Xenopus tropicalis: one gene and its partner. The protein of the gene in region 2 interacts with the protein of the main gene of each other region in a pairwise test. Links are inferred from orthologs where the notes say so. Each region holds a gene or a part of one and is shown on either strand. Other genes may lie near its edges.

Region 1 (5,098 bases), on a different chromosome or scaffold from region 2:
CATTTCAGAGATTTGAAAACAGTGTCAGCATACCTTTATGGTGACACACAGAGCTACTAGTAGCAGCTACTTGTCACAACTACAAAAATAGACAATGCTGATCATCTACCGATATTTGTATTTGTGCGTTTTAGCAAAGTAAATTCTCAGTACTGTTGATGACAGGCTGCTACTATGTAGCCCCGCGTGTCTTTGCCTTTAGATTGCATGCATTAAACCCTTTGTGCAATATTTGGTATTAGGTCCCTAATTAAAGTGTTAAATAAACATGTGGTGGTATATTAGTAAATACAGCAACTTTCTAGTAAATATCTGCCTCTGTAGTGTTATAAAACACCACCTGTTTTAAGAGATGCATAATGCTCAAATGGTTAACAATGGCATAGATGAATGCAAAACCTGGAATTGGATGGTGAGGGGATGGTCAGTGCAGAACAATGTTGCAAGCCAACCAATAGGTTCTTGGGGATCTTTCAAATTACACTATTCATGAAAAGTAAAAAGAAGAGAAAGTACAAACTAACCTAGTAAAGTAACCTAGCTTCAACTGTGCATGCTACAGCAGGCTCTAAATCAGTGAACTTCAAGAAGGGTTTACCCTAGCAACCAGGTGGTAGTTTGAATGAGAGACTAGATGATTAGGAAATGGCCTGAACAGAAAGAGAACATAAAAGGTAGCAATAAAAATACAACGGGAGCCTCATGGAGAAAGAAAACATAAAAGGTAGCAATAAAGGTGGCCATACACATAGCAATAATCCTCCACTGATGTTCAGGGCTGAATAGTCAGATATGGAGGTAGAAACAATAGAAATTCTACCTCCACTTGCCGATTCAGCCCTGAACATTGGGTGCCTTCAATGGAACCCAATCAAAATCTTTTAACCTGGCCGAACGACGAGTCGACTGATATCCGTCTTCTGCAATATCGGTCGCCTCTTCGAGCCGCCATACATGTATTGAATATCATAAGAAACAAGGTTTCGCTTAATAATATTGGTGCGTGTATGGCCAGCTTAAAAATACAACTGGAGCCCCCCCCCCCCCCCTGAAAGCTGAAGAGAGGCAGAAAAGGATAGCAGATAAATAAAAAAAAATAAATAAACAGCTAACCCGCTACCATATGCTCCTTCCTCCAGTGTCTAGATTGACAAGTGCAGCATTGTCCTGTTTGCAGAGGCACAGAGTGGATTTCAAAGAGGAACTGTGAAAGTATGCATTGTCACAACAAAATCTGTTCTGTGCGTTTGCACACAGCCCAATGCTGTGGCTGTCAGAAAGGAGTGGATAAGGGGATTGGCTGTTTTGTCTGCCTACATTTATATGCTGATGAAGAAATAGGCAACATAAATGGATTTGCCAGAGTTGAATTTTACTTTCTCCTAATACAAAGATAAACTAATCTTTACCGGACCACTAAATGAATGCTAAGCAGTACGGTTCACAGAGTACAACCATACTACCAACCCATGGAGTGTGTTAAAAATGCACATTAGTGGTTAGTGTATGAGTGATTGTTCTATTCTCAAAACACATCAGGTTAGTTCAACTAGCAAAAAGCTATGATGCAACTTGACTGCCTCTTTTAGTTTAAATAAGATGTAATGAGTTATACAATATATGACTTGATATGCAAGCATATTCCATAGTGTCTCCAACACCTCAGGTGTCTACTCAGCTCCAAAGTCATGGCTGCAGCTCACATGCAAGGACCACCAAGGGCTACAGTTTTGAAAGGGAAGTAGAGAGCCAGCCAAGTTTTACATCATTTCTGGGATAATTAACATTGTTTTGGTTGATTTCCACCATAGCCTCTGAGCCATATAAGTTGTACCTCAAATTGAGGGTTTGTTTTGGCAGATCATCCCATAATCCTCTCAGGCGCAGATCTGTCCATATTCAAAATGTTATTTGCCAATGTATAATGTTTGCTGGGGCTAAGCAAAAGAGAAACCACAGTTCTGTCCTTACAAATATATAATCAGAGGTTGCAGCCGGCAGTAGTACAGACTAGTATATTATATGGGAAAAAAAGAAGGATATTATAAATCACTGAGAAGTTCCATGAGCGTGAGAGCTTTTATACAGGTCATGGAACTCCAAGATGACTTCTAATGTCCAATACTGATAGAATAGCGCAGCACTCCAGTTCCAGGAAGACATGACCATGCCATAAGTACTAACAATGGCGGTTTTCCATATAACCTGGAGTGCCGTAGTATTGTATCAGTACTGGATTGTTGAAGTGTGCAGACATTTGGATTGCATGCACCAGCTGAGAAACCTGAAACATATGGCGAGCGCTGGATAACTGCTGTCTGGCTAGTGACTTCTAATATCTTCATATAGTGTCACAGAAGATGCTTTATTATTATAAACAAGTTCTAGGGAGTCATGTGACAGATATGACATCACTAAGCACTGTTTATAACTGATAACATCATCAAACACTATTCATAAGAACAGTATTTACAGGCTCTGGTGTATTATATGTATAGGCTAACATGCAGTCCCCACAGCGCATCAGTAGCCCCAGCTGCTTGTACACTAGCCCAGCAGCCAGAGAGTGGGGCGCTTCCCCGCTGCTTACACTTACCCTGGATGACATGCTCGGGCGATATGGTTTTCTTCTCTGACTTGTTACAGATCTCATTCGCCTCGGAAGAGATTAGGTGAATGAACTCCGTGCAGCAGTTTACCACCAGTTCCCGAGCATCATTGGCTACTCTAACATTGGGCAGAGTTTCTTTAATCATTTTATTGATGGCAGCCCTGGGAATAGTGAGGTCATCATCGTTCCCTGATGAAGAGGCCATTGCTCCGCAGCCCTATTTCCTAGAAGCGGCCGGAAACGGAGACCGGATGGCAAGATCCAGGCCTTGGAGAAATGTTTTAGTTTGAAGAGGATATTTTTGTGAATTAAATCACGCACGAACAATAAAAACAAAATAAATCCAAGAGACACGGAGGTCTGGCGGGAAGGCGCACGAAAAGACAAGCGCCCGCTGTGGCTCACCGGTCTCTTTTACACCATCCTCACGGCTCCTCCCTCAGCCAACACAACAAGCACCCACTCGCAATGCACGGAAGAACGGGTCACCGAAGTATAAAACACAACCAATTATACAAAGCAAATGCCGGGTCAGCGGGACATCCCGGCAGAAAACCGGTTAGGGCAAAGAGCCACCTTCTCCCGCCGGAAGCGGCGTATGTGAGGGAGCACGGCGCCCTGATTTCCACTTCCGGTAGCGCCGAGACGCCCGTTACCATGGATGCGCTGTCGGCGTCTGGCGTCGCACAAGGAAGCGGTGCAGCGGCGTCACTGTTATTCTGCTCAAATCTCAGGTTAATAAAACCGCGTCTGTATGCCTTATTTTACTGACAAATTGCAGTTTAGTTAATGAATGGAAATCTAAGCATTTTTGCAATATAGATTAGTTAAACATTATTTGTTTACTAGTTATTAGTTTAACTTATTTGTATTTATGTATGTATGTATATCTTTATTTATAAAGCGCTACTTATGTACGCAGCGCTGTACAGTAGAATACATTAATACAAACAGGGGGTTAAAGATAATGGATAAATACAAAGTACAACAATAAATAGTTGCAATAAGAGTCAGAAACAAGATGAACGAGGTCCCTGCCCCGTAGAGCTTACAATCTATATTGTAAAGATAACTGGTATTGAAAGCAGCATTTGTCTGTCCTTTTCTGTTCTTTGCACTGTTGCTTTTGTCTTTTGAAAAAATGTGGCAGAAGCCTGCTAATTAACAGACCTGTAAGTCTGACTTCTACTACATTGATTCAAGAGACAGAAGCAGCAGCAGGGAAAGGGACAGACACAATTCTCTGTTCAGCTGAATTCATGTTTTAATATAGTTAATCAAATAGAAAAAACATTGAATAAGCTCTTTTGGGCAGGGCCCTCTTCACCTCTTATATCGGTTATTGATTGCTTTATATGTTACTCTGTATGTCCAATGTATGTAACCCACTTATTGTACAGCGCTGCGGGATATGTTGGCGCTTTATAAATAAATGTTAATAATAATAACTGAATATAAAAAAATCAAATATAAATAAACATTAGGAAAGTGAACTCTAGGTACTGTAAGGTTAGTAAAGGTCCTAAAGATGCTTTCTTGGCTGAAAAGGAGAAAGCATTTCAAAACTATAAGGCAACAATAAAGAAGGTAAACTAATTGCTTTACTTGCAAAAAAAAATGGTTTACCTTCATTCACAATATTGGGTCTTCATTTTATTTAACATTAATGAATTGGAGGAAGAGCATTGAACATTTCCAAAATTCTAGCTTAGAAACCATGCAGAAGACAGTAATACTATGTCTGCATTTCACAATATTTTTCAGAAGCAGCTCCCTGAAAACCAATAGTACCCAGCTTATAATACCCATTAGCCCAAGTTTTGGAGTGTGCATACTGAGTCCATACTGTCCAACAAATTGTATTTTTCTTTTTTTAGTCACATCTTTTTATGCATATTAATCCTTCATAGGGCAAATATTTTATATATCCTGTGGAAAAATGTTTTGGTTTTTGTAAGCAGAAATGGGCTAGGGCCTTACACTGCACATTTCTGCCTGTTAAAGAGGAGCTCACAAAGTATATTACTTTATCTTATATGGTAACAAATTAATAGGTTAATTCTGTAACCTGTATAAAACATAGAACATTTAGGAATGCAGTACAAAAATCATCTAAAGTTTAATTTTTCTGGAAATCCTTATACATTTATTTTCTATTTTGTACCAACAGTTTTACTGTATTTCCTCCTCTTGGGAGAAGTTCAGCTCTGTCTAAAACACTGCATCTTAACTGTCAGACATAATGGGTCATTAACATCTTTAAGTGCAGTGTGCAACTTGCACTTTTCTCCCAGAGTCAGTTGTGCCTAAGGCCACTTCTCCCCCCCCCCCACCTGTGGGCTACCTCCCTCCCCTGTCTTCAGTCTGCCAGCAACCCGGCAGCACTCCTTACCACCCCCCTGTGTGTGCGTCCCCATGCACCCCAGGGTGCTGGGCAAGAAACCCGGGAAGGGTTGTTTTACCCTGCATTCCCTTGCTGTGAACTCA
Region 2 (4,987 bases):
AAAGTAGGCTAGTGAGGACATCCACAGTACTGTGGGACATCTAACGAAAAAATGTTTAGCATGCAGAACCATAATTTTACACAATGAAAGAGACAATTGTTTCTAGATTGTGTTTTACTGTTGTCTGATATTTGCATAGCATGCTCTGTTTATGTTATATTTAAAGATTATCATAAATTCAACACCAACACGAAAGGGGTAATTTATGTCTGCAAATGATGGGGAAGGAAAACCACCCCCCCTTTTTTTTTTTGCACCAGAATTTCAGCATCATTGCATCTGACACAACTGTATTGCCTCTGATGTTACCACATCCGATTTGCCAAAATTAAAGTGTGCATTACATCAAAAATCAGACACAACTGGTAGAAGCCCATCTGGTGTCATTTCTGTTTTTACAATACAATCAAGTTGGGGCTGTAAGAACCAGTTGCTATGACTGAGTTCCACATTCTAGTCTTAAAGGGGACACTGTCCGTTATAATAACCTTCAGTATGCTATAGACTAATTTAATAAAGGTTTCATTTTGAATAGTTTTCCTTTTTTTCCTATTGTGTTCTTTCAAGTATGCAACTGAAAAAACGGCAACCAAAAACCACTGACTGCAAAGCCTTTTAATGTAATTCTTATTTATTGTTTTCCTTTCCGTCTAGATCATCTCCTGTTCATCATGATTTATACATTGCTGTCTGGCTTCTTGGATACTTAAGCCTAAATTCAAAGCCCGAGAACTGTACAACAAAAATCATGTGAATCATCACAGAATACCATTGTCCACATAAGAGATGCAGTGAATCCTGGATTTGACCTAATCAAACTGCATGGCCAAAACAAATCCTTAAAGGAACAGTAACACCAAAAAATGAAAGTGTTTTAAAGTAATTAAAATATAATGTACAGTTGCCCTGCGCTGGTAAAACTGGTAAGTTTGCAACAGAAACGCTACTATAGTTTATATAAATAAGCTGCTATGTCAACACGGGGGCAGCCATTCAAGCTGGGAAAAAGGAGAAAAGGCACAGGTTACATAGCAGATAACAGATAAGCTTTGTAGAATATAATGGGGTTTTATATGTTATCTGCTAAGTAACCTGTGCCTTTTCTCCTGTAAATGGCTGCCCCCATGGCTACACAGAAGCTTTATTTACATAAACTATAGTAGCCTTTCTAAGTAAAACACACCAGTTGTAATGCTGCCCTGTAGTGGTACATTATATAGTAATTACTTTTATACACTTTCATTTTTTGGTGTTACTGTCCCTTTAACTTAATCCTTGGATAAAACAATTTTTCATAAAAGACTCGAGATTCGGCCAAATAACCACAGTGGATTCAGTGAATCCCTAGTCCACATTAAGAATTATTTTTTTTTGTGAACAACCCTACTCGTGATTGAGGTGGGAAAGTCTGACTACTTAAACTAGGGTGAGCAGTCATTGTAAAATAAATAGGTACTTCAAGGAAGGAAATCGAATGCACTTAAAAGAACTAAAATAAAACATAGCAAGTTTGGTCTAATAAGAGCTTCACCTTTTACTACTTTCATTGTTTTAAATGGTTTTGCCTTTAAAATACATTGGACATACAAATCTCAAACATTCTATAAAATTAAAGTATATAGAATTGTGAGTGGGTTCCTTAAATGAGAATGTCTGGGAAACTGTGCCTTTCCAACAACTGTCGAACTCAGTAGCTTGAGTCATAATGCTGAAGGCTATATTTTTAGTACTGTACATGATAAGGAGCATATTAAGCAGCTGTTGCTTTCACCATGTAAAATGATCAGATAGCAACTAAAAAGATTTGGATAAAGTCCTGTATAACTGTTAAATGCAATAGAATGTGTTATCCCTATAAAAGGGAATAACGCATACAGTGGCATATAAAGCTGGTAAGGTCAGTTACAATTATGTAATTCCAGGTAAAAGGCCTGCCAATTGAGCACTGCCAAACAGATTTCCAATTTTTAGGTTATTGAGATTGAACAGTTACAATTTGGTTGGGAGAAAAAAAAAGACTGTCCAATGACAGTCACAAATAGCTTAGTACAAGTTGATCCAGGGATTGGTCCGATTGCCACTTTGGAGTCAGGAATTAGAGAGGCTTCAGATGGGGTTTTTGGCTTCATCTGAATCAAATAGCATGTGGGTTTCATATAGACATTAAAGGCTAAATTTGGACGTGTCTTTTTTCAACCTAATTTACTATGTTACTATGACTGTAAACTGCTGCTGAAAGATCACCCTGTGGGTAGGCCCTCTGCCTAGTTGCTAGGGTAAACTGGACATAGCAACCAGAATTTCCAAACTGAAGATCTGCCGACCAAAATAGCTTAATCATTTAGAAACCACAGTAAATACAAATGAAGACTAACTGCACGTCTCAGGGATACCACTGCCTATATGTTACGTTACTGAAAGCTAATTCTGAAGGAGAATTAACCTTTAATACGCTTTTGAAAGATAAGGCTGCAGCAAGACTCCGCTACTCCAAAATGTCAAAGGCATAATTAAACAAGCCAATAAAGAGAAAGCCCAAATAATTCTTAGTTTTGTTAGCACCTATTGTCTTTGTTCTTGGGGAGGTACTTGGTGAACAACCTAATTAATAACAAATAAGCGAATTCGGCGCTCTGGAAGCACCGCCCTTATCTGAACAGTACAGGAATGTAGCGAATACAATTCAGCAAGAACAAAGGGCACCACATAACTATTAATATACAGCCCTAGGCATCCGGTAAAAGCAAAGTCGGTGCCATGTACTAGTTCGGTGCTTCAGCTCTCCCGCCTCCTCCTTAGCCTAGTTTCCGGCCATCACCGACCAATCACACCGGCCACATTGCGGCCTCCACCAATGAGCGAGGCCCGAGGCGGGGAGAAAGGAACAGAACCGGTACATGCCACCGAAATCTGTTCCTTGCATAGCATTGTTCTTGGAACCAGGGTTTTCCATCTACTTCCTTAACCCACCCGCCAAGGAATAACTCACTCACCGGCTGCCTCGGTGCAGCGTACCAATGATCGGCTTTTCCTACAGCTTCCTAAACACGCCAAGGTCCACCGGCTGAATAATCGTTTGTAAGGGACAAAAACTTCAAAAGGAGACAGTCGTTAACCTGGTCAGGGCGCTCCGGGAGACGAGGGGGAGGGGTTAGCGGGAACCGAAACAAGATGGCGGACACTGGGTATAGAATTCCCGCCCACTGTATAGTTAACATTGCGCCTGCGCTGAATTTAACGTCAACACCTACGACTGCAAAGATAGCCAATGAGAAATAAGGAGAAGGGATTTTACTGCGCGTTTCTGTAAGACGTTTCCAGAGTAACTGGGACAAGTATTAATCAGTGCTGCTTTGAGATGGCAGCGAAAATGGACTGAGCCGATAGTCTTTTGTTTTATCACGATCATCAGCTGTGTATATAAAAATCTATTTATTTAGTAGATTTTGTGGTGGCTTATTATAATATTACCAATTAGATTGTAAGCTTTACGGGGCAGGGACCTTCTTCCTACTGTGTCTCATACCACATGGCACTTACCCCCTGTGCATTTATACTTATTTATTATATTTATTATAACTCTTGTCCTCCCTGTGTGTAATTGTAAGACTGTACAGCGCTGCATACCCATGCAGCGCTTTATAAATAAAGTTATACATACATACATAGGGGCAGATTTACTAATGCACGAATGGACCGAAAGCGCCCGAACGCATTTTTTCGTAATGATCGGTATTTTTGTGACTTTTTCGTCACCGTCGCAACTTTTTCGTATGTCCTGCGATTTTTTCATCGCCGTTACGACTTTATCGTATATTTTCCGCGACTTTTTCGACGAAAAATGCAGGGCTGTGGAGTCGGAGTCGAGGAGTCGGAGGCAATTTTGGGTACCTGGAGTCGGAGTCGGCAAAAAATGAACCAACTCCGACTCCTACTAAATTTAAATGGGAATAAAAAAAAAAAAATAAAGCAAGTTTAAATGTCCCAATTCACAAACAGTCATAATTAATTACTTCTCTGCTATAAGAATAAAGCCCAATGCACGTAGTGCATAAACGAACGCGTTGAGTGACCATGAAGCTTTTCATTGGCTGTATGCTTCACTAAATGGGACGTAACGCACAGTTAAGGTGCGGCAGCTCCACTGCGTCGTGTTCCTCTGTTACTGGGAACCCAACGCCCACTGGCAACCCAGCCTAACTCTCACTGATAACTAATTAAGTAAAAAAATTGCAGGACTAGAAATACTTGTATACGTGAAGGGAATGGATAGTCAATAGTATAAGACTGAAGCTTTAAAACATTTGAAAAACTGCTGTAATTCAGCTGTAATGTTAGCTTAAACTTTAAACATGACTATGGGATTCTAGGGAAATCATTAGAAGTAGGAGTATAGATAAAATTGTCTATCAGTTTATTATCAGTTCAGTTGTGTTTTAAGTGCCCCTTCCCCCCTGCCCCTTCCTGGATGTATAAAATACATTAGCACAGTGCTGTCCAACTTCTGCGGTGCCGAGGGCCGGAATTTCTCGCGCATACATGGTGGAGGGCCACTAATAGAAGCCAGTTTTGACCACTCCCCTCTTTTAAACCACACCCACTTCAAACCACACCCATTTTATCACAATGGTGGTAGTGCAGCAAAAACCCAAAAGCTTGGTCCTCACTGCAGGGATATGAACCACCATTCATATGTGAAAAAAGTATATTATGTCATATTAAGACACACCCTAAAATCCATATGACTCCTCCTCCCCTGTGGATAGCACAGCAACCCCCAGCATATAATTACACACCTTAGGGACCATTTAATGGCTATTTCCAACTGCTAACAAACTCCCAGAACAAACCCCTGCCAGGTTCACCTCCCAAAGGCAGCATAGGGTAGGCAGAGTATGGCACACACAGGCAGCACTCAGCCTGCCCTACGCTACCTGTGTGTGCCATACTCTGACTGCCCTATGATGCCTGTGTCTGCCATATGCTG

Evidence for each region.
Region 1: the proteins of nfyc (region 2) and dr1 interact in binary tests that used the Homo sapiens proteins (3 or more experiments, as listed by UniProt). The link is inferred for Xenopus tropicalis from reciprocal best matches to the Homo sapiens genes NFYC and DR1.

What each region holds. Positions count from the first base shown.
Region 1 is NC_030680.2:104,112,754-104,117,851, forward strand, and holds the start of dr1 (protein Dr1), read right to left. Parts: upstream 3,040-5,098; 5' UTR 2,817-3,039; coding exon 2,597-2,816; intron 1-2,596. UniProt on the Homo sapiens protein: The association of the DR1/DRAP1 heterodimer with TBP results in a functional repression of both activated and basal transcription of class II genes.
Region 2 is NC_030678.2:87,830,254-87,835,240, reverse strand, and holds the start of nfyc (nuclear transcription factor Y subunit gamma), read right to left. Parts: upstream 3,117-4,987; 5' UTR 2,994-3,116; intron 1-2,993. UniProt on the Homo sapiens protein: Component of the sequence-specific heterotrimeric transcription factor (NF-Y) which specifically recognizes a 5'-CCAAT-3' box motif found in the promoters of its target genes.